Linked DNA regions of Oryctolagus cuniculus. The protein of the gene in region 2 interacts with the protein of the main gene of each other region in a biochemical or structural test. Links are inferred from orthologs where the notes say so. Each region holds a gene or a part of one and is shown on either strand. Other genes may lie near its edges. The genes, in order: PDHA1, PDK1, RPS6KB1 and AKT1.

What was found.
Region 1: the proteins of PDK1 (region 2) and PDHA1 form a complex in vitro, tested with the Homo sapiens proteins (2 studies listed by BioGRID, with this or other methods). The link is inferred for Oryctolagus cuniculus from reciprocal best matches to the Homo sapiens genes PDK1 and PDHA1.
Region 3: the proteins of PDK1 (region 2) and RPS6KB1 form a complex in vitro, tested with the Homo sapiens proteins (2 studies listed by BioGRID and IntAct, with this or other methods). The link is inferred for Oryctolagus cuniculus from reciprocal best matches to the Homo sapiens genes PDK1 and RPS6KB1.
Region 4: of the proteins of PDK1 (region 2) and AKT1, one has a biochemical effect on the other in vitro, tested with the Homo sapiens proteins (3 studies listed by BioGRID and IntAct, with this or other methods). The link is inferred for Oryctolagus cuniculus from reciprocal best matches to the Homo sapiens genes PDK1 and AKT1.

Annotation. Positions count from the first base shown.
Region 1 is NC_091453.1:5,375,126-5,382,542, reverse strand, and holds the start of PDHA1 (pyruvate dehydrogenase E1 component subunit alpha, somatic form, mitochondrial), read right to left. Parts: upstream 4,607-7,417; 5' UTR 4,471-4,606; coding exon 4,414-4,470; intron 1-4,413. UniProt on the Homo sapiens protein: The pyruvate dehydrogenase complex catalyzes the overall conversion of pyruvate to acetyl-CoA and CO(2), and thereby links the glycolytic pathway to the tricarboxylic cycle.
Region 2 is NC_091434.1:68,568,373-68,575,659, forward strand, and holds the start of PDK1 (pyruvate dehydrogenase (acetyl-transferring) kinase isozyme 1, mitochondrial), read right to left. Parts: upstream 4,112-7,287; 5' UTR 3,987-4,111; coding exon 3,785-3,986; intron 3,508-3,784; exon of another isoform or gene 3,110-3,507; intron 1,380-3,109; coding exon 1,238-1,379; intron 1-1,237. UniProt on the Homo sapiens protein: Kinase that plays a key role in regulation of glucose and fatty acid metabolism and homeostasis via phosphorylation of the pyruvate dehydrogenase subunits PDHA1 and PDHA2.
Region 3 is NC_091448.1:35,209,163-35,215,874, reverse strand, and holds part of RPS6KB1 (ribosomal protein S6 kinase beta-1), read right to left. Parts: coding exon of another isoform or gene 6,699-6,712; exon of another isoform or gene 6,557-6,698; intron 5,956-6,556; coding exon 5,855-5,955; intron 4,114-5,854; coding exon 4,023-4,113; intron 3,859-4,022; coding exon 3,768-3,858; intron 2,582-3,767; coding exon 2,474-2,581; intron 2,183-2,473; coding exon 2,120-2,182; intron 1,939-2,119; coding exon 1,861-1,938; intron 1-1,860. UniProt on the Homo sapiens protein: Serine/threonine-protein kinase that acts downstream of mTOR signaling in response to growth factors and nutrients to promote cell proliferation, cell growth and cell cycle progression.
Region 4 is NC_091451.1:46,974,310-46,981,021, reverse strand, and holds part of AKT1 (RAC-alpha serine/threonine-protein kinase), read left to right. Parts: intron 1-3,258; coding exon 3,259-3,387; intron 3,388-5,291; coding exon 5,292-5,403; intron 5,404-5,492; coding exon 5,493-5,640; intron 5,641-5,727; coding exon 5,728-5,859; intron 5,860-5,930; coding exon 5,931-5,996; intron 5,997-6,117; coding exon 6,118-6,186; intron 6,187-6,294; coding exon 6,295-6,420; intron 6,421-6,486; coding exon 6,487-6,615; intron 6,616-6,712. UniProt on the Homo sapiens protein: AKT1 is one of 3 closely related serine/threonine-protein kinases (AKT1, AKT2 and AKT3) called the AKT kinase, and which regulate many processes including metabolism, proliferation, cell survival, growth and angiogenesis.

The DNA.
Region 1 (7,417 bases), on a different chromosome or scaffold from region 2:
TGTCTCAGAATAAGTAAAGGTGACGGGGTGAGGTAGCAAACAAAAGGTTATGTTTGGCAATCATGAAATGATGTTATTTTTGGCGGCTAACAAATTATTTGAGGGACCAGAAATACTGTGAAATAAGTTTCTAGATACAACTGCAGAAACTGCAGTCTTTGGAAGCATTTAAATGTAGGGACCAAACCAGGCAGGAAATAATAACAAAGAAAAAGCTAAACAACTTCTCAATTCTAAAGTAAAAACAATGAAGAATGAAGAATGAAGTGCTTATACCGGAGTGCAGGAAGGGCCAAGGTTCTGATTGACAGCTACTTCCTTTCTCTGCTTGTTGCATTATTATGAACCTCAAAAAACTAAGAACCACTGATACAGCGGGAAGAAGGAGCAAAGTTAAGAAAGCTAAAAGTCCTATCAGAAGCACAAGTACTGTAACTTTTAACTGAGATTGCTGAAAAGGTTACCATTGATTTTCTCTGGAGAGCTGTCAAACTTTGAGACCATGAGCCATTCATATTTCGGCATATAAAAACTTTTTAAAAATTTATTTATTTGAAAAGCAGTTACATAGAGGCAGAGAAAGAGAGCGAGAGATCGTACATCAGTTGGTTCACTCCTCAAATGGCCACAATGGCCAGAGCTGAGTCCATCTGAAGCCAGGAGCAGCTTCTGGGTCTCCCTCACGGGTGCAGGGGCCCAAGGACTCGGGCCATCTTCCACTGCTTTCCCAGGCCACAGCAGAGAGCTGGATTGGAAGTGGAGCAGCTGGGACTTGAAGCAGCGCCCATATGGGATGCCGGCACTGCAGGCGGTGGTTTTACCCACTACGCCACAGTGCCGGCCCCCAAATAAAAACTTGAGTTCCTAAATACATTAGAAGCATTCAAGTGAAAAACAAGGGGAAAAACATTTCAAAAATTCCAGATTCCACCAATGGCAAATAGAAATCTTACCTATTATTTAAAAAGCCAAAAGAATACTAGGAGTAAAGATCTCCAAGGGTGCCAGTCTTGTTGTGTAGTGGGCTAAGCCGCCACTATGATGCTGGCATCCCATATGGGCACCAGTTCATGTGCCGGCTGCTTCACTTTTGATCCAGCTCCCTGCTAATGACCTGGGGAAAGCAGTGGAAGATGGCCTAAGTGCCTGGGCCCCACAACCCAAGTGGGAGACCTGGAAGAAGGTCCTGGCTCCTGGCTTCAGCCTGGTCCAGCCCCAGCCGTTGAAGCCATCTGGGGAGTGAACCAGCAGATAGAAGATTCTCTCTCCTCAACTCTTTCAAATTAATAAATAAATCTTAAAAAAAAAAAAAAAAAGTATCTCACGTCATTGAGGCCAGTGCTGTGGCAGTGTCAGGCTGACACTTGTTTCAGAATGCCAGTTTGAGTCCTGGCTGATCCAGCACCCTGCTAATAAACCTGGGAAGGCAACGGAAGATGGCCCAAGTGCTCAGGAAACCTGCTACCCACATGGGAGACCTGGATGGAGTTCCCAGCTCTGGTTTCAGCTCAGCCCAGCCCTGGCTGTTGTGGCCATTTGAGGAGAGACTCAATGACTAGCAGTTCTTTCTCTTTCTCTCTCTCTCTCTCTGCCTTTCAAATAAACCTCTTTAAAAAAAAGAAGTCGCAACAAATAAAAACACTAAGACAAAGATTATGATTTTAAATGCAATTCAGTCTTCTATAAGAATTTTTAAAACTATCAATTTAATTCAAAAATAAATCACAAGCTTGTAATTCATTCAAAGTTTCCTGCCAAACATGTCATGATACAATGATAATCGACAAGCCTGAGATAAATCACCATACATCCCTGGTTTTAAGAGGAGAAAAGAAAAAAAAAATGAAAAGGGGAAAAAACAGAGTTCTGGAAGGCAAGATAGGGCACAATGTGGATAAAGTGTCACAACCATCAATCAAACGAACCACTTGACCTTTCTCCATCCCCTCCCTCTCTGAGTATCACACAGATGGTGCAACTCTAGTACCCAATTTGCCTAATTTAGGTTAGTCGCAGTTGATTATTATCAGGATTTTTGAAAGGCTTATTTGCAAAAAATATTTTTACATATATATGAAAGTAAAAACCTTGATTATTTTGTTTTTTATATTTAAATAAAAAGACATCCATAAGTATGAAAAAAATCACAAAATATAGTTATTCTCAGGGGTTGGCCATTTAGCATAGCAGTTAGGATGCTGGTTGGGACACCTGAATCCCACTGTACCCGGGTTCAAGACCCAGCTCCACTCCCAAGTCCAGCTTCCTGCTACATGTACTCTGGGAAGCAGCAGTCATGGCTCAAATAGTTGGGTTCCTGCCAACCACATGGGAGACCTACACTAAGATTCTGGCTCCCGCTCCCGCTGGCTCAGCTCCAGCCATTGCAGATATTGAATGAGCAAACAGAAGATCTCTCTCAGTCCATCTCTGCCTTTCAAATAAAATGTGTAAACCCTGACACATTGGTTTATTACTCCATCCTTTAAAAAGATAAAGGTGAAACATCTGGTCCTTACCATCTTCAGAAGTTTCAGAAATGCCTCCTAGTTGACTAGCACGTGACACGTATAGTCACACAGAAAACTATCTGTAGAGTTTGCACCAAGTGGGAAGCTGCCTGGGTACTTTAGGGTGACCTGACTGCTGGAACTCAATTTTTTTTCCTACTGGAAGGTAGGGGAAAAGAATAAACCTGAGTGCCTAATAATAACGATTTAAGGGTGTTTCTGAGCCCCTAAGTACTGGTACATCTACAAACCGGTATCACCAAAAGGGATGACTTAGAGAAAAGGCAGAAACTCTGCTAGCAAGGTTTGACAGTGGAAACTTTTTATCTATTAGTTTCCAATCGCAATTCAAATTCTTGACACCTCCCAAGTTTAACTTTGAAGTTCCTGGGAAACTGTTTCTTTCCACTAAGTGCGAAGCTTCAATAACAAAGTTTCTACTGCTTTTGCACTTCTAGTCTATCCAATCTCACAGCAGAAAGGAAAGGCCACTTAACTTCTGCAGATAACTAAAGCACTGCACAATGCTGCAAACACGTTTCTACTGCTGTTTTTCCACTAAAAACCAATGCTAGGGGATTCAACGAGATAAAGCTGGGAGGTATCTACTAGTGCCTAGCACATACTGCGAGCTCAAGAAATGGTGGCTGGAGCCTGCGTGTGGGCAGAAAAAAGGAATGCCCCTTGTGCTTCGCCATCAGGTCAATCCCAGTACAATTCCAAGGTCAATACAGTTCTGATCAATCAAATTCTCCTGTAAATCTTAGTAAATGGGATTCCTAGAGGGGTTCAGCCGCTACCTTTTGACAACCTCTGCCCAGACTAGGCACAGCTGCATCGAGTCCTGGGAGAATTACTAGAACCGGAATTACAAGTCAAAGCTTGGCTCTGCAGTTATACCAAGTAACCCCATCTCACTGTGCCCAGAGGTCAAAATGCTAGCAGCTCAGGTGAAAGGCGCATCTGAAAACTGGGGCTGCAAATAGCTTAAGTGCGATTTCCTTTAGCCACCTTTACCCTAAGGGGATGTGTGTACGTCCCCCCCCCCCCGCACTTAAGGGGGGAGAGCAGTTTCCTGTGGGTTCCGCTGGACCGCTTTCCACTGCCAAGAAAAGTTAAGCCGGAGAGGAAGTGGGTTCCTGGGGAGCGTGACCACGTCTAAACCCTCAGACACCCACAAACGTACACCAAACTGGGCGGTCAACACAGAGTACCCACTATGTGCCAGGTGCTAGTCGGAAACGTTTACGCACGCGTCACTCGTAGAATCCTCAGACAACCCCACGAGGTAGGTACCCTCATATACATTTTAGAGATAAGGACACTGGGCGGGGTGGAAGGTGGGGGGGGGGCGTTCAAAACTTGCCCAAGCTCACAGGACTGCTGTTTGAATTCCAGCCAGTTCGTTTCCGGATTCCACGCTCTTTACTAACACCCACTAAAGGACCTCTCAGCCAAGACAAACATTAAGTTAGGGAGAACTGAAATGAGTGGGGTCAAGTGAAGACTCTTACAAGCTTAAGGCACCCCCTCCATACCCTGCAACCAACGGGCACTTTTCGAGCACACCTAATCGCTCCGCGCGGAGCTGGGCTCGGGGAGAGCCGGAGAGTCGTGACCGATCTCCACGCGGACCCGGCAGGGGTTGCCCCCCCTCCCCAGTCGGCCGCCCAGCGCCGTTCCCCCCCGAGACTAGACGCAGAATGCACGGCGTGGAGGCAAAAGCAAAAGCCCGCAGCTCCCCCGGCTCCCCGCCGCATCTTTTACTCAGCGCCCAATCCAAGCAGCGCGTCTAACTGCGAGCCCCGAGGCCCGGCCCGCCCTTCGGCCTCCTCCGGCACCGCCTCGGTCCCGTTCGCGCTCCATCCCGATCCGTCCAGGCCGCTGGCTCGGGCCGCCTCACCGGCTTCTGGGCAGCGCCAGACAACACGCGGGAGACAGCGGCCAGCATCTTCCTCATGGAGCGCAAAGAAGCTGCAACAACGGCGACTCCCAAACTGCCCAAGGGGAACTGCTAAGCCGACCCCAAGTCTCCTTCAGGCGCCCCAGCAGAAGCCACGCCTTAAACGCAACGCGACGTGGCGTCGGAATGACGTCATGCGCCGCGCCGGGCCGCGGGCCAACCAGGACGGCTCCCAGGCTGTGTTCCGCCCACTTGAAAGGCCTGCGACCACCCATTGTGTGTCGGCGCCATGGGGGGCGGAGTTGCGGCTTCCTCGCGTCACCATGCGGCGGGAGAGGGAGGGGTCGACTATCTGAAGGCGCCTGCGTGGGAGAGTGGGTCCCCGCCTCCAGCCTTCTGGTTGGATTCTGCGCAGACGACGGTGGTAGCCTTCAGGCTGGTCCTGACGTGTGGCTGGTCCTGCTGGTGCTGTAACTGCAGCCTTGGCTCTGCACACGAGATGATGAAGATTAGCAGCCTAGCCGGGGCCGAAAGATAGACGGTACAGTCTTTGTAAGTGATTCTGCCACTAACTTGGCTTTAAAAGATCACGTAATACAATCTGGTCTCCCACGTGGTTGGCAGGGATCCAACTACTAGAGCGGAGCCGTCACCTGCTGCCTAGCAGGGTGCGCTCTGCTTTTCAAAGAAAAACAAATAGGTAAAGGATCACATAACAGTTGTAAAATGCTGCTGATTCCCCAACTAAATACTGAGGAGTCAGTGGGAAAAACCTTTTGGCTCTACTTACTGATTCAGAAGCTCAAAGAGAGTTAACAGCAGGACACAGCCAAAGATAAAAGGACACAGAGAAACAGACTCCAAAGCAACTGGGCTCTGTAGAGAGGAGTCAGGGCTCAGAAACCCATCCTGCTGGGCCCTGCTGGAATTGCACCTAAGGTTCTGGGTTCTGAATTGGCTCCATTTAAAGAAGGATAATGACAAAAATGAGTGGCATCCAGAGGATGGCGGTCACAATGATGAGGGGCTTAGACTGTGACTTGCGAGGAATGACTCAAGGAGTTAGGAAGAAACTGGACTGATTTAGAGTGAGCTAGGTTATGTTGCTGTAACACTCAACCCCAAATTTTAGTCTCTTTAAGAACATCAAGTGACTGGCCAGCGCTGCGCCTCACTAGGCTAATCCTCCGCCTTGCGGTGCCGGCACACCCGGTTCTAGTCCCGGTCGGAGCGCCGGATTCTGTCCCGGTTGCCCCTCTTCCAGGCCAGCTCTCTGCTGTGGCCAGGGAGTGCAGTGGAGGATGGCCCAAGTGCTTGGGCCCTGCACCTCATGGGAGACCAGGAGAAGCACCTGGCTCCTGCCTTCGGATCAGCGCAGTGCACCGGCCGCGGCGGCCATTGGAGGGTGAACCAACAGTAAAAGGAAGACCTTTCTCTCTGTCTCTCTCTCTCACTGTCCACTCTGCATGTCAAAAAAAAAAAAAAAAAAAAAAAAACATGAAGTGACTTAGCTTGTTCATACCACAACTTCCACAGCTTGGCTGGGACTGCACTCCATGTCATTTCTCTGGAACCTTGAGTGATGGAGCAACCTCTGTCTGGAACTTAGCTTGTCTCACGGTGAAGGGAAAAGCTGTCACTTCGAATGGCTCTCAGAGCTTCTGCCTGAGATCAGCGTAGTGGTGGAGTGGGCTAAGCCAATGCCTGCGATGCCAGCATCCCATATAACCACCAGCTGAAGTCCCAACTGCTCTGCTTCCAATCCAACTCCCTGGTAATGCACCTAGGAAAGCAGCAGAGGAGCAGAGGATGGCCCGAGTACCAGGATGATGTGTTGGGCTCCTGCCTTCAGCCTGGCCCAGCCCTGGCTGTTGCAGCCATTTACTAACCAGCAGATAGAAGGCCTCCCCTCCTCCTCTGTCACTCACACCTTTCAAATCTTTCTTAAAAAAAAAAAAAAAGAATGATCTAACCCGTAAGACATATTTGTTTGTTTGTTTGTTTGTTTTTAAAAAAAAAGCTTCTGCCAGAAGTAACACATATCACTTCCTCTAATGTGCAGGAGGGAGACCAGAAAATTGGGTGGACAGCAACAGTGTAGAGGACTTGGTACGTCTTCACACTTGTACTTCCATGACCAGGTTGCCACGCGATGAGCGCTCCCTAAAGGCTGAGAGGGACGGGATGGCAGTGAAGCAGGCTGCCCAGCGTGGCCTCCGCAGATGCTGCTGCTGCCAGAATGTGGAAGCTGGAGAAAGGAGAATGAGAAGAGTGCGAGGCCAGATGGCCAGTTTAGAGAAGCCGGCCTGACCGTTTGTGGACCTGCTGGCCTGCAGGCAGTGGTGGGACAGCTCCCCGAAGTTGTCCCCCAGCAAGTGGCAGTTGTAAGTCTAGGACACAAGCTAGAAATATAAATTTGGGAGTCATCTGCATAGAGCTGACATTGGTTGTGTGCGTCCAGGAGCCCTGTCGGCTCTATGCATACACATGCATTCATTCTTGCATTCCTTCAACACCTATTTGTTAGACACCAATTCTGAGTCAGGCATTGGAGTAGGCACAGGGAGGGGGGAAAGAGCAAGGAATAGAGTCCCCAGTCCCACAGAGCTTACAGTCTAGTAGGGGGTTAATAAGTGCACATAAGTATATATTACAGGGGCATATAATGCAGGCAATAAATGGTATGACAAAAATTAAACAAGATAAGGGAATAACAGGAGTGACGTTAGAAGGGCCCCTGTTACCATGTCTTGTCCGTGTCCTGGTTGGGGAACGGCTTCACCTGTCTTGGACTGGTTACTCAGTACAGAAATAAAAAGTCTGAAAGAGAGAGCAAAAGTGGAAGCGAGTGTATCAGTGATAAGCAACAAAAGCACCCCACTTGGATGAGGGCCCCCAGAGCTGGGGGATGGTCTCTTTTATGTTATTTCCTTCTCCCTCTCTCCTTATCTGACATAGGGGCCCTTCACCTAGTGCATGCAATAGGAGTCCTGTTTGGATGGGC
Region 2 (7,287 bases):
GGAAAGCTCTTTATCTATGACCGCGCCCAGTTAGCAGGCGTCCAGGGGAAGTGAGCATTTCTAAATCTTAAATCCATAGGCTGGTTTGGCAAGCTGTTCCTGACCAGCCTGTGCCTCCCTGCATTCCAGGTCAAGTGATTCAGATAGCTGCTGTGCCACTCTCACCCTTAATTTTCTCTTCCTTGGCAGGAAAAACTATGCTCTTTACTCAACAGATATTTGAGTATCTTTAATGTGCAAGGCACAGACCAGACCATTCAAAAAGCAACAATTTCCATTTTTAATGAAAAATTTAAAAAAACAGAAAAGCAATTTCCTTGAAAATTTTTATTTATATTCCATCACAATGCCTAACCAATGCCTCTTAAACCGCCTTTTCAACTTCTCCATACTTGGCCTAGAGAGCATCTGATTATCATATACAGAATGGCCACATTGCTTTTGCTTATGCTTCTCCCACAAACATTTTGCGGACAGCAAAATGAGGAACTCCACAAATTATAACTGGGAAGTATCTTGCAGCTACATTTGTCAATATACAATGTACCTCTGGTCATCTCTCTTGTTTGAAACATGTAGTGCTTACAAGAATACTTTTAAAATTAGTACTATTAACAGCAAAGGCTGCACATCAATTGTCACATGAGTATATACCCTTAACACCTCCTAGTGTTATTTTAGGGAGAGAAATTAGTTAATGATTCCAGTAACTTCTGTCTTTAAATGGAAGAATAAACTTTAACTTTTGTGATGTCCAAAAAGATCTACTTTAATAAAGTAAATTCAGTTTATAAAAGATACACGTGTTAATGTATTTCATCATTCTGACCACGCATGGTTTAGTAGATACAAATCTGGGTTTGAATTCCACATCTACTATTACTTTCTGTGCATCAGTTTACTTATATGCAAAATGGAATTTAAAAATATCTAGGATGCAGGGTGGATAAAGAGATGAAAGGTAATGTGTATAAATACCCAGCCACTCACTGATGGTAGGCATTCCACTTACAATATCCCTGCAGATATTATAACACAAATCTTAGAGCTCTTGTCTGTGCTTCTGCATGGCTCCGGCTGCATTCAGAAAGCAAACCCAGATTCACCAAAAAGAAGAAAGGAAGAGAAATATCGCTATTGCCTTAAGACTCCCCTGAAGAGTAAGAAAGCATTTACTTTAACACTGAGTAAAACTCTCAACTCCACGGACATCGCAAACACAACATGGGAATCTTACCAGCTTTGCACCAACTGAACAGATGGCGTCCTGAGAAGATTATCTGGAAGGAGACTTATTTCTTTCATTATATTTGCCAATCTAACAGGCAGCTCCTGCCGCAGAAACATAAATGAGGTCTTTTCGCAAGCATTCACCGATCCTGCAACCAAAGGCCACAGGGAAAGCAGTAAATAAAAGCCATCGGCAGAAGTCAGGCAGCAGAGAGAAACACAAGAGTTCTCAATCACCCCAGTGCTGGGAAGGGCCCAGGAGGTGAAGATATCCCGTGCCTGCGGGAGAAGGATGGGATAACCTAGCCTTTAGGGACATCACACCCCAGAATGACCTTCCAGTCCCTGCCATTTCAATTAAATGGCTCTCTACAATTAAAGTACTTTGCTATCTCCCTTTGCTGCATCATTACTGTAATGCAACATCCAAGATCCTCTTACAACTAAGGTAACCACAGCCGTGTCTGAGTCAGGCTCAGCACCCAACAGTAGAACCTGACAAGCCTATCCTACCCTATCCACTCTACTGCTGCTACCATTTAGAAAATCTGTCCCCTAACTCTAGAAAGTGTGAAGACTTATCCAAGAAACTGGGAAACTTTTACCTGTAATGGGAAGATTGAGGCCAGGTAGAACCACTTATACTAATTACCAGCAGCAACAAGGAGGGCTTTCAGGCATTAAAAAATAAACACAAACACCTGCTCAGCAATCCTCTTCAAGTAGGTCCCATACAACTGACAGATTCCTGAAAGCCACCTGCCGCTTCCTACCCTTCCGTATCAGGACCCTAAGCAGAACAGTCAGATAATGACCTTTGGCAAGCAGCTCCATTTGGTCTAAAGGTAAACTAAACAAGAGGGTGTCTAACCAGGCCGTTAAGACAACAGCATCCCGTGTCAGAATGGCTGGGCTTCACACTGGCCCCAGCTCCTGACTCTGGCTTCTTGTTAATACAGATCTGTGAGGCAGGGGCGACAGCTCAAGTAATTGGGTTCCTGCTAGGGAGACCTGGATTGAGATCCTCACTCCCTGCTCTAGCATGCCCTAGTCTCTGCTGTTACGAGCATTGGAGGAATGAACCAGTGGACGGGAGCTTTTCTGCAGCATGCCTGCCTGCCAAATAAGCTTTGTAAAAATAAATAAATAAATAAATAAATAAATAAATAAATAAATAAAGTTAGGGGCTGGTGCTGTGGCACAGTAGGTTAAGCCACCCTCTGCACACCAGCATCCCCTATGGGCACCAGTTAAGAGTCCCAGCTGCTCCACTTCCAATCCAGTCTCCTGCTAATGTGCCTGGGAAAGCAACAGAGGATGGTCCAAGTCTAGGGGCAACCCTACACCCACTTGGGGAACCCGGAAGAAGATCCTGGCTCCCGCCTGGTCCAGTCCTGGTTGTTGGGGCCATCTGGGGAGTGAACCAGAGGATGGAAGATCTCTCTCTCGTCAAATAAATCTTTTTTTTTTTAAAGTAAGCTAAAAACTCGGATTATTTCAGTAACGGATTTTAAGCTAAATTAACGTTGCTACTTTAGCAGAGACAACCTTAGCAAAACTAAGACTGTCAATACTAGGAATCAGCATTAAAGGACATTAAAGGACATTCTAGCACTAAAGGACAACATAGTCTTGTGAAAGTTTAAATAGCATACTTTCGAACAAGGTCAAGTTCACCCTTTCATCATCCTAGGAAAAACAAAAACGGAAGGCTGCGAGCCAAAAAAAAAAAAAGTTTGCCACTGGAAACCAATTTTTAGATAAAGTCACCAGCGATGTCGGTATCTTTGGAGTCCACTAACAATGCTGGTGACCTGGTAGCACTCCTAGCGCGAAGATAACTTTCTCTACTCAAACTTTTACTGTTAACAGCTGATACCTGTCCTCCCCTGTCCTTGCTCACTCCGTGCTGGAAGTCGAAGCGAAACGCCCCATCCGCACTTCCTTCTGCAATCTGTCGCGCACCTCGAGAAAACCAGCGTGCACGCGGCCAACTCCACAACACCTGGTACCGATGCAATTTACACGCGCTCAAGACCCGTCTGCCAGCGGCGGATGAAACCCTGGTCGGTGGCAGCACCCTTCAGCCACCGGCCAGGAAAACATTCCAAGAAAACACGAGACCGCTTCTAACTTGCTTTCCCTTGCCAAGTCCTGTGCAATCATCGTGGGCAAGAGGCGCGTTTCTCAGCCCTCCGCGGAATCCGAAGGCGATTCCCGGAGGCGTCTACGCCGCGGCTCTCACCTGAGCCTGCAGCTCCGAAGGGAGCCGGCCCCGAGCGCGCAGCACACGTGCGCCGGAAGGCGGGGCGTCATTCCGCCCGCGGCCCGGCGGGTTTGTTTTCAACCACGGAGTGAAAAGCCCCACGCCCCATTTACCTGAGCCGTGAGAGGGGCCCCCGCGAGGGAGGAAGGAAGCACCCAAGGCGCCGAGCGGGGAGACGTTAGGGACGAGAGGGCGCTCCGGGGGCGACGGGGCGCCAGCGCGGGCCCCGGCGACCACAGCCCCCAGCCCGGGCCGCGCACAAAGGCCTGAGGCCCGCGCCGCACTCACCGAAGTCCAGGAACTGCTTCATGGAGAGCGGGGACGGCGAGAAGCGCGCGTAGAAGTCCACTTGGCCCGGAACGCCGCTCTCCGACGCCGGGCCGGAGCCGGAGTCCGAGGCGAGGCTGCGGCGGTCGCGGGGGCCGGCGGCGCGCAGCCCCGGGCCCGAGCCGGCCGCGGCGGCTCCGCGCAGCAGCCGCGCCAGCCTCATGCCGAGCCCCGCTGGAGGAGCCGGAGCCCCGGCGCCAGGTCGCCGCTTGGCGCCTCAGCCGGGCGGTACGTGAGGGACGTGGCGGGCCGCGGGGGCGGGGAGCGGCTGTCACCGCCGCGGCCGCCGCCCCCCTCGCCGGAGGCCGGCCCCCCGCGCCGCTGGGCGGGGCCCAGAGGGGAAAGGAGGCGGGGTCAGAGGCGGAGCCGGCGCGTGCGCGCGCGTCTCGGCCGAAGCCCCGCCCCCTCCCCTAGAGGCGGGACGCGCGCCGGGGCCGCCCACGAGCGAGGTGGACAAAAGGCCAGACCCGCCGCTAGGCGCGGGGAGCCCTGCGGATGGCCGTTGGCGCCCGACGCCCTGCCGCGAGGTCCGCGGGGCCATGGGCCCCATTCCCACGCCCTTTTGTAACAAGCCACACCTTCCTTCTTCCTCTCCTCTCACAACCTCAACCCAAAGTCTGGAGGGGGCCTACAGCGGGGGCCTTCTGCGAGCGCGTTCCGGAAGCGCTCCGTCTCCCAACATTGCACAGGTGAAGAAACTGAGGCTCGGATGGTGAGCGCCGCGCGTGGGGCCCCACGTGGTGTCCCAGGGACTGCCGGCCCGGGGGCCGAGTTGGCAGCCCAGCCTGAAGCGTTCTCTGCGGCCATTTCTGGTCGACAGCCTAGGGGCATTTGCAATGCCTGTCCACCTGCTGCTGCCCTCATCTCTGTCTTAGGGTCCCAGCTGGCCTGCTGCACTCTGTACGGGTTCTAAGTAGTGAACGTGATGAGGGAGCGCCAGAGTAAAGCCAACAATAATAACCACAATAACTCCTTCCCAACAATAAGCAGAACAGGATGGAAGCCCCTTCTAATACTTAGCAATGACGACAAGATCTAGGTTTACCTAAAAACAAGTTAGAAAAGACTCCATTAAGACTGCCTCTGGAGTAGCGGTAAAACCGCCCCCTGTAGTGCTGGCATCCCATGTAGACGCCAGTTCTAGTCCCAGCTGCTCCTCTTCCGATCCAGCTCTCTGCTATGGCCTGGGAAAGCAGTAGAAGATGGCCCAAGTCCTTGGGCCCCTGCACCTATGTGGGACAGACACCTGGATTAGAAGCTCCTGGCTCCTGGCTTCGGATCGGCACAGCGCCGGGTGTTGCAGCCAATTGAGGAGTGAACTGGTGGATGGAAGACATCTCTCTGCCTCTCCTTCCCTCTGTGTGTAACACTGACTTTCAAATAAATATATCTAAAGAAAAAAAAAAAAAGAGGCTGCCTGGGCCTTGGAGATAATGTGTTAAGGACAAATACCCTTAGACTGCAGATCTCAGCGGCTTGGTCTCTCACCCTCACTGTTCGCTTTTCTCTTTTTCTTAAGTAAAATTTCTACTCTCACTGTTGTGTCCGGTCTCATATATCCATGTCTACACCAGGACACAAACTCGGACTCATCCTCTCCAGGTTTCTTGCAACAACAGGACTAGCCTATGTGTGCCACTGGTTTCATCCATAGAGCCTCAAAAGTTGTAGTTAACACTAAAAGCTACTTCTTGTCTCTTCTCTGTAAGGCTGTCGCAAAACACACCAAACACTGGAGTTGGAGGAAGAGGAAGAGCCTATGAGAGAGAGAGTGTGTTTGGGGAACAGGTCCTGTTAAACCTTTGCCCAGGGAAGTAGGAGCAGCGAATCCCATTGGGTGGAGGTGGAGCTGACACTGACACTGACACCTGTGGTTGGGCCATCTGGCCATCTAGCCTTCTAGCAAAGGCAGAGGGGGCTAGAGCCTTAGATGGTGCCACAGATAAGACTGCACCGCTGCTTCTCTATATCCACCCCAGTGCTTGTGAGCTTTAGAGATAACAAAATTTCTTTACCGTGTGCTTTATATTTTTTGTTCCAAAACTTGAGACAGAGGCGTTTCACGTTTCAGATTTGTTTGAATAAAATATCTTGGGGATGGGACCCAAAACAAAACACCAAATTCTTTTATGTTTCAACTCTGTTACTGGTCACGGAGGGGAGGTTGCTGGAACAAGTCTTGTGGGTTCTTTTCCTCAGCTTAGTATAGAAAAAAGCTGGGAAACAATTTGCAAAGAGGCAGAAACTTTTATTCAATTAGCAAGCGACAGAGAAAACATCTGGTCCGAGAGGAGACCAGGCGGAGTGCCCGAGCCTGACACTGGCTTTGAGAAAGTGTCCCAGGTTTTTAAGGCATTAGTATCTGGTCACTGGTTATCCTATTGGAAGTGCCCATTATACAGGGGTTTACACATACGTATGTTGATTGGCTTGGGCTCATGGAGATAGGGGGGTGTGGTGGAATGAGAAGGCCATGCCAAGATGGCCACTGGCAAGCCAGCATCAGTTACTCAGGAATGGCTTCAGAACCCACCTGGCAACGGAGCCTGCCTGGCAGCAGGCTGTGATTGGTTAGGGCATAAGCCGCCCTTTGACCTGATTGGCTGCCTCTGCTATATAAGCTGCTGTACCAACTGAAATAAAAGAGTCCGCTGGCTGCTCACCTCAAGCCCTCTTTCACCCGACTCCTGGGGTCTTTGTGGTGACTCCATGCCTCTTGACCCCGCCACGCTCCTCCTCTCAGAACGGATCCACGACAACAGGGGGGAGCAGGGGTTTCCTAGAGACTGTCTCCTTAGGGTCTCTGCTAGCTCTGAGTGGTAGATTGCAACTAACTTGAAGGCATAGTTTGAAACCACAAGGTCACACAAGATAACCAGAGTCTCTTGGAGCTGTTTCAACTCTCCCCAGGTGCTCAGCCCCTTCCCTCGCCAGCTCTGAAAGATTGCAGCCACCCTGGAGGTGTGATTTATTTATTTATTTATTTTATTTTTTTTGACAGGCAGAGTGGACAGTGAGAGACAGACAGAGAGAAAGGTCTTCCTTTACCGTTGGTTCACCCTCCAATGGCTGCCACGGCCAGCGCGCTGTGGCCAGCACACGGCGCTGATCCAATGGCAGGAGCCAGGTGCTTCTCCTGGTCTCCCATGGGGTGCAGGGCCCAAGCACTTGGGCCATCCTCCACTGCACTCCCTGGCCACAGCAGAGGGCTGGCCTGGAAGAGGGGCAACTGGGACAGAATCCAGCGCCCCGACCGGGACTAGAACCAGGTGTGCCAGCGCCGCAAGGGGGAGGATTAGCCTAGTGAGCCGCGGCGCCGGCAGAGGTGTGGTTTAAAGCTGCAAGGTCACACATTAGGAACAAGAAACTATTAGTGGGGGAGATGCCAGTTGGTTTGGAGACAGGCTTTCCAGCCACAGCTGGCAGCTTGCTTGTGAAGGACATTCTACTTATGTCTGAGGGGC
Region 3 (6,712 bases), on a different chromosome or scaffold from region 2:
ATAACATTCTGACTTCAGAATCAACCCTTAAGGCTTCCTGGTCTGGCTGAAAAGCCTATGAGAACATTTCAGGCATGGAAAGCCAAGACACTGTGGCAATAAATGTTCTACATGAAGGATCTCTGAGTGAGATCCCAGCAGAAAGAAGTGGCCATCAAAGGAGGATTTTTTTTTTTTTTTTTTTTTTTTGACAGGCAGAGTTGGACAGTGAGAGAGAGACAGAGAGAAAGGTCTTCCTTCCATTGATTCACCCCCCAAAAAGCCGCTACGGCAGGTGTGCTGCACCAATCCGAAGCCAGGAGCCAGGTGCTTCCTCCTGGTCTCCCATGCGGGTGCAGGGCCCAAGCACTTGGACCATCCTCCACTGCCTTCCTGGGCCACAGCAGAGAGCTGGACTGGAAGAGGGGCAACCGGGACTAGAACCCGGGGTGCTGGCGCTGCAGGTGGAGGATTAGCCAATTGAGCCATGGTGCCAGCTGAGGATGTACTTTTTTTTTAAAGGGAGGAAAAAACTTCCACCTTGCTTATGGGCTTATCTAACTACTGACGGAGTTTGTGGATTCAAAAGGCTTCCATAGCCTAGGCAACTCATGTCAAGAGCCTCATATGGTCACTGACCACTGACTTCATATACAAAAGTGTTAATTGTTAACAATAGGAGTCACTGTGCACTAACTCCCCATGCATACAACTCCTCAATGAGTTGTATTATGAGAGTTAACTGTAAATTTAGTTCTCAGTTTCTTTGTGTATGTGTGTGTGCAAATTGTTGAAATCTTTACTTGGCATAGAGTTGGTCTTCTGTGTACTAAGTTAACTGAAAATGAATCTTAATGGAGAATGGGACTGGGAAGGGGAGAGGGAGGAGGTATGGTGGGAAGAATAACTATATTCCTAAAGTGTACTTATGAAATTTGTCTTCCTTAAAAAATAATTAATAAATTTATTTTTAAAAAGGGAGGAGTAAGTTTGAGCACAAATAAACATAAAAACAGATATCCAGGTGATATATCTATAACCCAAAGATAGGTAAAAATTGCCAGCAAATCATCAGAAACTAGGGGAACGGCATGGAACTTAGTCTCTGTCACAGTCCTCAGAAACAACCAATCTGGGGCCAGTGCTGTGGCAAAGCAGGTAAAGCTGCTGCCTGCAGCACTGGCACCCCATATGGGCACCAGTTCAAGTCCTGGCTACTCTACATCTGATCCAGCTCCTTGCTAGTGCAACTGGGAAAGCAGCAAAGGATGGCCCAAGTGTTTGGGCCCCTGCACCCACTTGAGAGACCTGAATAAAGCTCCTGGCTCCAGCCTGGCCCAGCGCCAATCATTGCAACCTTTTGGGGAATGAACCTATGGATGGAAAATCTGTTTCTCTCTCTCTCTCTCTCTCCCTCCCTTGTTCCCTCCCTCCCTCCCCTCTCTCTGCTTTTCAAATAAATAAAATAAACCTTTAAGGAAAAAAAGTAACCAATCCCGCCAACTTAATCTTAGACTTCTAGCTTACAGATCTGAGAAAATATATTTCTATTACTTAAGCCACTCAGTATGTGGTACTTTGATATAGCAGGCCTAGCAAATTACACATATATCCTACATTTTGAACAAAAAATTCCCAGAGAATCAAGTTTACAGTCGGTTAAATTAGGGGAAAAAAATTCTCAACTTCTTGAAATAATAGCTAATATAGTCATCAGTCACCACTGGCATTAATTCTTGTAAACAAAATACCAAATAAAGATTCTAAAGAGAAGACCAAAGTTCTTTGAATTTAAAAATATGTTTAAAACTGCTCTAAGGTTTTTCTTTTTCTAGAAAAGCACAAAGTCCCTCAATTTTATCTGTTTTCATGGATACATACCAACAGAGGTTTAAAGGGCGGCTCCACCTTTCGAGCTAGAAGTTCTTCCCAATTAATGTGTCTGAAGAATGGGTGAGCCTAGAAAAAAGAATAGAGAAAGACAAGGAGAACAGATTTTACTGGGATGACAAATTAACTGTTTGAAGTGACAAATCACAAAATCAGCTAAACTTATAAGCAACTACATACAACCCTGACAAACACAAAATAAGCAAAATAAGCAGTCTTTTCCCAGAACACCAAATATGTCAATCCCTACTTGAACTTCTCCAGCATCCCCAGGACCAGCTCCAAGACGTGAAGCAGCGTTTCTTTTCAGCAGCTTAAGGGGGAAACAAATAAAGTATTGATAAAGAACTTCAATCATATTTATTTTTTCCCTTTGTATAATTTGTTCATTTATATTACCTTTAGAAAATGTAATTTATCAGTTACTACTAAATAGTCTGAAAATAAAAAGAAAAAATCTTTAAACAAATTGGTACTATGCCTTCATAAACTGCATGCTTTATTTGTTCAATACCTTGTATGATTCTTTATTCAAAATGTTAGATTCTACCCAGTTAAAATTAGTTATTGAGACTTATATTTCGAGTACCCATTAAAAAACTACCTTTTTAAGCAGATCTCTGGCTTCTTGTGTGAGGTAGGGAGGCAAATTGAGTTTACATTTGAGGATTTTGTCAATTGTTTTCTTTCTATTCTCCCCAGTGAATGGGGGCTAAGGGTAGAAAAGAGATTAAATTAGCATATAAAAACATTTTAAAGAATATCATCCATTTTCTGAATTAGTCAATTATGCAAGGTGGTCAGAAATGTATGCAGTGAAATGGGCTGACTACTGAAGACCTGTAGTTTTCAAGAAGCATCACAGAGGAGTTCAGCAATGACCTGGAATGAAGCCTGAGTTTTCACCAGTCACTTGTGTGATACTTGGCAAAGCATGTGATTTTATGTTTTGATCTCTCTATTTATAAAGTGAGGACATTATCTAACCTACATCTCTTTCACAGGACTGCCATTACATAGATCATTTATTTATTTGAAAGGCAGAGGTATAAAAAGAGAGAGGGAGAGACAGACAGATCCTCCATTCACTGGCTCACTCCCAGAATGGCTACAAAGGCCAGGGCTGGGCCAGGCTGGAGGCAGGAGCTTCTTCCAGGTTTCCACATGGGTGCAGATGCCCAAGCAGTTAGGCCATCTTCCACTGCTTTCTCAGGCACATTAGCAGGGAGCTGGAATGGAAATAGAGCAGATGGGACTCAAACTGGCGTCCATATAGAATGCCAGTGTCACAGGCAGTAGTTTAACTTACAAGTCAAAACACCAGTCCCAACATATAAAATAAAATAAAAATAAAAATAAATAAAAAAATAAATAAAATAAAATAAAAATGTTTTTTAAAGGATGGACCCCCAAGAGGTCGGTGCTGTGGCATAGAGGATAAAGCTGCTGTCTGCAATGCCAGCATCCTATATGGGCGATGGTTCGTGTCCTGGCTGCTCCACTTCCAATCCAGCTCTCTGCTATGGCCTGGGAAAGCAGAAGATGGTCTAAGTCCTTGGGCCCCTGCATCCACATGAGAGACCCAGAGGAAGCTCCAGGCTCCTGGTTTCAGACAGGCACAGCTCCAGCCATTGCAGGCATCTGGGGAGTGAACCAGCGGATAAGAGACCTCTCTTTCTCTCTGCCTCTCTGCCTTTCAAATAAATCTTTAAAAAATAAATAAAAGGATGGATCCTATATAATCATAAGGCATTATTAGAATTAAACTGCTGATAAATTTTTAGGCTTGAAAATAATTCCACATTTTCAAAAAGTACAGGAATGGCCTCCTGTGATAATGATTTGAAAACTACTCAGCACAAGACCATAATACATGCAGCTTTTAACTGTGCACCTACTGCTCCAGTCAGCATGTCATACATTAATGCTCCCAAACTCCACCAATCCACGGCACGATTGTGGCCACTTCTCATCAAGATTTCAGGGGCCCTACAATGAGAAAAATAGCATGCATAAAATTCAACCATTTATATATCTGAAAATTAAAAAAATAGATGGAGTCACTGATGCTACAGAAAACTTAGACACTATTATTAAACTAGGTAAAGGTTAGCTATCAATCCCAAACCAGTTACATTTAACACTCAGCTCACATGTATTCTATTGTTCCGCAAAATGTGTGTGTGACTGTTCCATCATGAATGGATTCTTTGCATAGTCCAAAGTCTGTTAGTTTCACATGACCTACAATGAAAAGATTATAGCATGATTATTCCAAGAGTTCTAAGTATGTGCAGTATTTGAGCATATCACATAAAACAATAATCTATCCTTCTATTCAGTGTTTCCTGCCTTAAACTCTTCTTGCAGATATCAAGAACTAACAAGGTGCCATCCATAAAATGGAATGCTAACACTTGAAGGCTAGGGTAGAATCACCTTTTGCCAACAATATAAATGATAAATGATGATAAAGACAAAACAGAAGAAAGTTAATCCATTTGTCTAAGCCCCTAGCTTCACCTATCCATAGCTTTACGGAGAATCGTCTACCACTCTGAGAAAGCAAAGTCCTAGGGAAAAATCTTTATTAAGTCTGGCTCAAGTCACAGACCCTAATAAACATATGCTGCACTGTTTCAACAAAAGTGTGACACTACACTTTAAATAGCCTTTATCACAGTAAACTGTGACTTAAAAGTTCTTAAAATGATCTTAGAAAGTCACTGTAACAAGTTAGCCTCTTCTGGCAAGTGCTACCAGTTAAGAGAAGGAACTGAAATTGGCATGGGTTAATCATCTCAGATCCAGAAACTGAAACTTTCATCACCTTCCACAAAGATCATTTCAATTCAAGTTCAGCTTTACTGAACTGTTATTAACCAGTGGTTCAACAACCCTAGGGACTCAGATTCATTGCAGAGAAAAGAAAAGGCAATAACTTATTAATTGAAATGTAAATACATACTATACTCTGATACATATGTCTTTCATTGTCAAATAAACACCTAAATTACTCAAACTTATGGATCAAAGAAGTTGTTTTCTATTCTATCCGTCTCCTAATTCTTTGCTTTAGAATTCAGAATCAGAATCTAGCTTTTCAGGGAAGGTGGTGATAGAAAGGAGAAACAATGAACCAGACAGCAAGAATAAATTGATGTCCACTAAATATTTTATTTTCAAGGCTATATCAGATATCTGGCTCAATTCCAATCCTTTCCCTTTTTTCAACATTAGTAAAATTTGTCATAAAATATTTGTGCATTGTCAATAAAACTCCATTAAGATTCACTTTTCAATTTAAGAAACAAATCAAGGCTGGCGCCGTGGCTCAATAGGCTAATCCTCCACCTTGCGGCGCCGGCACACCGGGTTCTAGTCCCGGTTGGGGTGCCGGATTCTGTCCCGGTTGCCCCTCTTCCAGGCCAGCTCTCTGCTATGGCCAGGGAGTGCAGTGGAGGATGGCCCAGGTGCTTGGGCCCTGCACCCCATGGGAGACCAGGAAAAGCACCTGGATCCTGGCTCCTGCCATCGGATCAGCGCGGTGCGCCGGCCGCGGCGGCCATTGGAGGGTGAACCAACGGCAAAGGAAGACCTTTCTCTCTCTGTCTCTCTCTCTCACTGTCCACTCTGCCTGTCAAAAAAAAAAAAAAAAAAAAAAAAAAAGAAACAAATCAAAATAATGTTTCAATTGGCTTTTGGTCCATAATATTTTGTGCAAAGACTTAAAAAAAAGGCAAAGAAAAGCTATAAAGAATAAGGATTAAACTGAAAAAGGCAGTTGAGTGGCTATTATCCTCAACTCCTTTAATCTCAGCAACTATAATACTTAAACACCAGCAAGTATTATGATGCCATTAATACTGAGGGAGGAAATGTATAATAATAGAGATGAATATGGGGCTTTGAAAATGGCCACAGCCTGTGTGCGAGGATTTTAAGATTATTATTTACTATAAAAATGTTTACAGTATATCTCCACCTTGGTGATTAAGCATGATATTCTCCGGCTTCAGGTCTCTGTAGATGATCCCCTTTTGATGTAAATGCCCCAAAGCCATGGAGATTTCTGCCAAGTAAAAGCTGGAAACAAAAATGATTTAATAAAATTAAAACAAGTAAACTACCCAAAGCAGTTTATGTATGGAGCAAAATTCCTTGAAAGAAACAGACATGCACCAAAGTCCAAATTAGTGGGGTGAGGGGATGTATGGGGAAAAGAAATGGTTCAGAATGCTGCCAAACGGCATGGGGACATTTACATTTCACTGCTTTTAGTGAAACTATAAAATGTTCTATTTTGCCATTAGAACATACTGATAAGGTTGCAGAGATGCCCAGAATATGCTAAATGCTCACTGGTGGCATTTTGTTCTGTGTAGGAATTAGGCCAACTGTCATTTAGATCAAATGAAATTTCTCCCACCAACCCCCAATTTAAAAATCCAACAGGAAACAGGAACTTGGTTATTCTTACAGATCAAGTCTTGATTTCCAAACATTCCTCATAACCTGACCCTCAGAAGCCCACTCCTCCCTTACTTAATATAGCTGCATACTTATAAACAGCTATGCCCACAGTATCTGCCCTCCCTCTTGCCAGCCAGCCCACAACTATAAACTGTGTGACACTCAAATTTATCTACCTCCAAAGAATAAAGGGCTGAATCAACCCTGTCTGGATTCGAAAAGCACAGGGCACTGCAATACTGGCTGCATAACAATGTTGCAATCCTGCAGATTACTCCAGGATGGACAGGGTGTATCCTAGAGGACTGAGGCAGTTTCACAGCCAGCAGGACCACAAACACAGCCTCCAACATAGCTCAGAGAGCCTCCT
Region 4 (6,712 bases), on a different chromosome or scaffold from region 2:
TGTCTGTACTCTTGGCCCGGATCCAGGCCAGGAGGTATCCCCTGGGGATGTTCCGGAAGCCCCCAGCACGGCCAGGGCAGCAGCCCCTCCCCAGGAACGGACAGACGGGGTCAGCTGGTCGTCCGGCAGACCTGGGCTCACTCCCCTGGCCGGCCTGACCAGGTCGGGTCCCCCTTGTGGGAAGGCTCGGCTGGGCCGTCCCTCTTGTCACAAGCCAACGAGTGGCCTGGGCTGGGCCGTGCTGGCTTCAGGCTGCAGCGAGGCCAGCGCACGTCAGACACGGAGGGTCGTGGGCAGGTGAGCAGGAAGCCTGCCCCAGGGAGGAGATGGGAGCCACGGAGCGGGCAGCCCAGGGGCCTCACCCGGAGGGTGATGGGACACGCCGGGCCACCAGAGGTTCAGTGACGGATGAGGCTGAGGTGGGGTGGGCGTCCAGGCGAGGGTAGAGGAGCCCACAGCCCCCGGCACCTCCACAAGGTGGTGCCCGGCTGTGTCCTCTCCTGCGTCCGAGTGTCCTCTGGTCAACTCCACCCGCCTTGCCTGCCTGGTAGGGGGGCTTCCTGGGAGGGTGGGACAGGCCCGAGGCTGGCAGAGAGGTGGGCCTGGCGGTGCCAGCCCCTGCCGGGCCGGAGTGGCACTGCTCACCCTCCCCTGAGGACCTGGGCCGGGAACGCAGCGCTGGGCAGCTGGGCAGCTCCCCGAGGGCTGGTGGCCTTGGTCAGACTGGCCCGGTGCCTGCTGCGGTGAGGGGCACAGGGACCCCCGCAGGCAGTGGTGGCCACCAGCAGGCCCTCTGCTCAATGTGCCGGAGAAGGTGAAGGCGCGGCAGCTGTCGGCAGGATGGATGTGCTGGCGGCGGGGGACCGCAGGCCTGCTGGGGCTCACTTCGCTGTGGAGAGACAGCCCGGTGCTGCCTGGCACCCTGCCAGCCTGCACCCGCCGCCGCGCAAAGTGCCAGCCCAGCAGTTTGCTGGGGACCGGGAGCGTCCAGAGGATGTGCGTGGAGGTGGGGACGCGGCTCCAGCCCGTCAGAGCCGGGCAGCGTGGACCCCGAGACTGCCCCCGGCCACGTCGGTACTGGCTGTGAGCTCGCACAGGCTGGGCCTTGCGCAGGCCCATCCTGTCCCCAAGCATTGTGTGGTGTCCCCGAGGCCAGAGCTGACCCAGGCCGGGTCGCAGGAAGCTAGCTAACCCTGTCACCCTGCTAAGGGCAGCCATCCCCTTCTCCCTGTCCCGGGCATGGTGGCCTGGAGCCTGGACAGGACCTGGGGCTCCGTGCAGCACCTCAGGGGCCACCACTGTGCTCCCAGCCCAGGGCTGGGTTCCAGGCTGTCCTGCAGGTGGGCCGGCCAGCAGTGGGGCGGGAGCGGGTCCCACCCGGGCATCTGCACCTCCTGATGGCAGCGCCTGGCTGGACCTGCCTAGAGGGCAGCTGAGCCTGCTGGAGAGGCCCTGGGTGGAGCCTGGCACCGCCACAGGTCTGAAGGGGGGGGGGGGCGCTGAGGAGACCCTGCGCTGGGCGCCAGTCGCTCCCTGCCAGAGGCCCAGGCCCCTCTGGACCTCGGGGTGGGCAGGTGCCAGTCTGCAGGTGTGCAGTGGCCTCTGCCCCCACCCTGGCGGGGCCGGGGGTCTCAGGTCCCACGTTGCTTTGGCTGAACTTAAGACGAGGGCTGTAGCCCAGGCACGGCGAGCACTGTGGGTCCCCATGGGCCTGCCTGGCCGGACGCAGAGGCAGAGGTGTCCCTCGGCCTGCTCCTGGCCCCCGTGGAGGGGTCTGTGTGCTGAGGGCAGCCCCCTCACCGACACTGGGGGTGGGGGCCCTGTGTGTGCCGTGTGGCGCAGGACCGAGATGGATTTCTGGGGCGCGCGCGGGTGCTCATCAGTCTCCCCGCTCGCTCAGCGTCCTGGGGAGCGGCAGCTGGTGGGATGGCAGGCACTCCATCAGGGGCCGACAGCTCCAGACTGGCGTGCAGGCGGGTGGGCACGGCGCCGGGCGGCCCGGGACGGGGGGGCTGTGCAGCCCCCAGAGCCCGCTCCGCTCGCCCCCTGGAGCCCCTGCCTGCCCCCACCTGCCCAGAGGGGGTGCCTGTGGTGGGCTGGAGCCTCTTCCCTGAGGGTCGCCCTTTGCTCCTGCCAGAGGCCCCGGTGGCCCCAGCCTGGCGGGGCGGGGTGGGGGCTGCCTCCAGGCTCTCCCAGGGGGGTCCTGGGTGGGGAGGGCGGCTGGCCCCAGGACCCTGCATACAACCCCTCCCAGCTGTGGGGGGCACCCTCATGAGGGGGCAGAACCTTGTCCTTCCCCCAAAGCAGCCCCCGCCGCACCTGAGCGACCGCCCCCTGCATTGTGGGGTGGGGCCTGTTAGCTGGCCTGCCCCCCTGGGCATCGGGGTGTGGCCTTACTCCACTGCTCTGGTCCTGCTGGTGGGCTGGCTGGAATCAGGCCCACCCCAGTCCAGGCACAGTAAGCACCCAGGGGTGCTTGGGGGGGCCTCTTAGAGCCCTGGGCTGTGAGGGGGGTGGCTGGGGTGCAGGTCCCAGCCCAGCCCGGGGCTTCCGGGTCCCATCTGCAAGTGTGTCCAGGACCAGGGTGCAGAGTGGCAGCTGCCGGGCACCTGGGGAGGGAGGGCCACTGCCCTGAGTGCCTTGCCCAGGGGACGCCTGCCGACCCGTGTCCTCTGAGCTCCTCTGGGGGTGGCCTGTCCCTGTGTCGTCCCCAGCTCTCAGCCCACAGTGAAGCAGCTGCCTAATTAGCAACTTCCCTGTCGTTCAGACTCTGTGCTCGGCAAAATGTAAATGAGGCGTTTTCTCGGGTGTCAGTGTGAAAAATGGCGCAGCGCGGCTCCACGGAGCATCTGCCGTGTCCCCGAGCGCCGCGGTACTGGGGGAGTCGGCCCCCGCGCCTGGACCAGGGGCTGTCCCAGGGTGGGCGGCAGCTCTGCCCTCGGCCCCAGGACTGTGCTGCTGGCCCTTCCTTGCCAGTGCCAGGCTCTGTCCTCTTGGCTGGAGGCCGGCTCAGGCCAGCAGCCACACCCTGGAGCCTGGGTGCCCGGCCAGTGCCTGAGCTGGGCACCAGCTGACCTACTGCCTCCCCCTCCAGGAAGGCCAGGTAGGTGGGCCCAGGCCTCCTCCCCGTGTCCCAGGTGTGCAGGTGGGCCTGGCCCCTTTCCGGCGCAGCGAGCCTGCCTTCCCGTCCCCCACCCTCTGCCTGGCGTAGCTGGCCAGCGACCTGGACAGGGGCCCTCACCGCCTGTGTCCTCACAGGGGAGTACATCAAGACCTGGCGGCCACGCTACTTCCTCCTCAAGACTGATGGCACCTTCATCGGCTACAAGGAGCGGCCACAGGACGTGGAGCAGCGCGAGTCCCCACTCAACAACTTCTCTGTGGCACGTAAGTGTCCCCTCGGCCACTCCGGGTTGGACGTGGGGCGGTGCCTGGAGTGGTCCGTGCCCTGTGGGACTGGGGGCCAGCCCTGGCTGGCGGGGGCCTGGGCCAAGCTGCATGGCTGTCCTGTGGAGCTGTTCCCTGAGCCTCCTGCCCAGAGGGGACAGCTCGGGCTATAGGGAGCCTCCAGGCTCTCCCAGGGGGGTCCTGGGTGGGGAGGGCTGCTGGCCCTAGGACCCTGCATACAACCCCTCCCAGCTGTGGGGGGCACCCTCAAAGCTGGCCAGTGCCACTTTTTCCCCTGCCTGGCTCCCCAGTTGTCCCTCCCACGATGCTGGCTGGGGCCGGGCAGGTCCACTGCCACTTTCTACCACCTGGCAGCCCAGCTCTGCCCTGGGGCTGGCCTGGGGCAGCTGGGGGCGATGGGCCTGCCAGCCGTGGGCCTCTGGGTTCTGCCCCTCCCTCTCCTTGGCCAGCACCCTGGGGTCCTCTGGCCCCTGGCCTTCAAGGGCCACCCAGGTTCTGGTTTGGGGGCTGCAGGGAGGTCTGGCACAGGTGGCTCGACCTGGGCGTCGCCCTGCCTGTGGGCATCTGCGTGGGGATGGGCTGCGGCACTGGCTGCTGGGTCATCCCTCCCGGGGCCCACTCTGTGCTAGAGGAGGGGCCTGGCCGTGGGGATTCCCGTGAGCCCCAAATGCCACCCTCCCCGGCCTCAGGCCCAGCTTCCTGGGCCGGAGGCCACCAAGGAGGCGCAGGCCAGTTCCCTGGAAGCCTTGCTATGCCCGCTGTGGGGGTGAGGCAGGAGGGGCCTCTGCAGAGGAGCCCATGGGGGCAGCGCCAGCCGGGGGCAGGGGGCGCTGCCTGGCCAGGGCGAGAGCCAGCGTGTGTGTGCGGAGGGCCTGTGTCCAGGGGCTCTGCCTTGTGGGAGGACCGAGTGAGCTTCCTGCCCGCACAGACACAGGCCGCCTCCCACCAGGCTGGGCCCCGGGCCCCCACGCAGCCCCTCGCCCGGCAGACCTGGCCCTCGTGGTTGCCAGGGTGCTGGTGCTGGAATGCACACGCTCCCCGGCTGTGGGCGTGCGTGCTACAGGCACACGTGTGGCAGGCGTGCGTGTTCCAGGGGCGTGTACTGTAGGTGTGCGTGTTCCAGGCGCGTGTACTGTAGATGTGCATGTTCTAGGCGTGTGTACTGTAGGTGTGCGTGTTCCAGGGGCGTGTACTGTAGGTGTGCGTGTTCCAGGCGCGTGTACTGTAGGTGTGCATGTTCTAGGCGTGTGTACTGTAGGTGTGCGTGTTCCAGGCGTGTGTACTGGACTTCCGGTCAGGGTCTCCCAGCGACAACTCGGGGGCCGAGGAGATGGAGGTGTCCCTGGCGTGCATGTTCCAGGCGTGTGTACTATAGGTGTGTGTGTGTGTTCCAGGCGTGTGTACTATAGGTGTGTGTGTGTGTTCCAGGCGTGTGTACTGTAGGTGTGTGTGTGTGTTCCAGGCGTGTGTACTGTAGGCGTGTGTGCTCCAGGCGTGCTGCAGCTGTGGCTGTGGCAACAGCAGGGCGTTCTCGCCCCTCCTTGGGCCTGGGCACCCCTTGCCCTCCAAGGCCTTGGAAGGTGACAGTGACCTGCCTCGCCCCAGCCCCAGCCTTGTGGGCAGGGGAAGAAGTGGCACCTGGCCAGCTTGGAGGGGATGTGCGCAGGGGCCTGGGCCGGCAGCCTCCCTGTAGCCTGAGCTGGAGGAGGGCCCTGGGTAGTCTGGGGCTCAGACGCTTAGGGAGGGACCGTGGCGGGGGCTCACTCCCCCCGAGCAGAATGTTCAAACTGGAGTGGGGCGGGAAACAGCCTGGAGGAGGGGAGTGGGGCCTCCTGGGGCCAGCGGGGGCAGGAGCTGATGGGCACCCCCGGCCCTGCCCCCAGAATGCCAGCTGATGAAGACGGAGCGGCCGCGGCCCAACACCTTCATCATCCGCTGCCTGCAGTGGACCACGGTCATCGAGCGCACCTTCCACGTGGAGACCCCCGAGGAGCGGTACGCACACTGCTGGCCCGGGGAAGCTGGGGCACAGCCCCGCTGCGTGCCCCCGGCAGCTGTGACCGCTGGCCCCCCGACCCCTGCAGGGAGGAGTGGACGACTGCCATCCAGACGGTGGCCGACGGGCTCAAGAAGCAGGAGGAGGACACGATGGACTTCCGGTCAGGGTCTCCCAGTGACAACTCGGGGGCCGAGGAGATGGAGGTGTCCCTGGCCAAGCCCAAGCATCGTGTGGTGAGGCTCCGGCTCTTCCCGGTGCCCCGGGCCAGCGGCGGTGGGCAGGCGCCGCTGACCCCGCTGACCCGCCTGCGCACCCCGCAGACCATGAACGAGTTTGAGTACCTGAAGCTGCTGGGCAAGGGCACCTTTGGGAAGGTGATCCTGGTGAAGGAGAAGGCCACGGGCCGCTACTACGCCATGAAGATCCTGAAGAAAGAGGTCATCGTGGCCAAGGTGGGCGGGGCCGGGGCGGGGCCGGCGCGGGGTGGGCGGGGCCGGCGCGCGCTCACCCGCCCGCCTTGCAGGATGAGGTGGCGCACACGCTCACGGAGAACCGCGTGCTGCAGAACTCCAGGCACCCCTTCCTCACGGTGAGTGCGGGCCCTGCGCGGGCGGGGCCCGACCCTCGCCGGGACGTCCGGGGATGTCGGGGTGGGGGAGCCTCCTGGGGGGCTCCGGCGCCGTCCCACCCGCCTTGGCTCTGCCCCGCAGGCCCTCAAGTACTCTTTCCAGACGCATGACCGCCTCTGCTTTGTCATGGAGTACGCCAACGGGGGCGAGGTAGGGCCGGCGGGGGCGGGGCCCGGGGGAGGGGCGGGGCGGGGGCGGGCCCTCGGGGGGCAGGGGGCGGGGCGGGCGGGCCCGGCGCCTCAGCCCCCTCCCCCGCAGCTCTTCTTCCACCTGTCCCGCGAGCGCGTCTTCTCCGAGGAGCGGGCCCGCTTCTACGGCGCCGAGATCGTGTCGGCGCTGGACTACCTGCACTCGGAGAAGAACGTGGTGTACCGCGACCTCAAGGTGCGCCCCGCGGGCCGGCGGGGGGCGGGCCGGGCCGGGCCCCGCTGACCGCCCCTCCCCGCGCAGCTGGAGAACCTCATGCTGGACAAGGACGGGCACATCAGGATCACGGACTTCGGGCTGTGCAAGGAGGGCATCAAGGACGGCGCCACCATGAAGACCTTCTGCGGGACGCCCGAGTACCTGGCCCCTGAGGTGCTGCGCGGCCGCGCACCGCGGCCACCCGACCTGGGCACGCTGGGACCCCACATCCATCCCCCGACCTGGGCACACTGGGACCCCACATCCATCC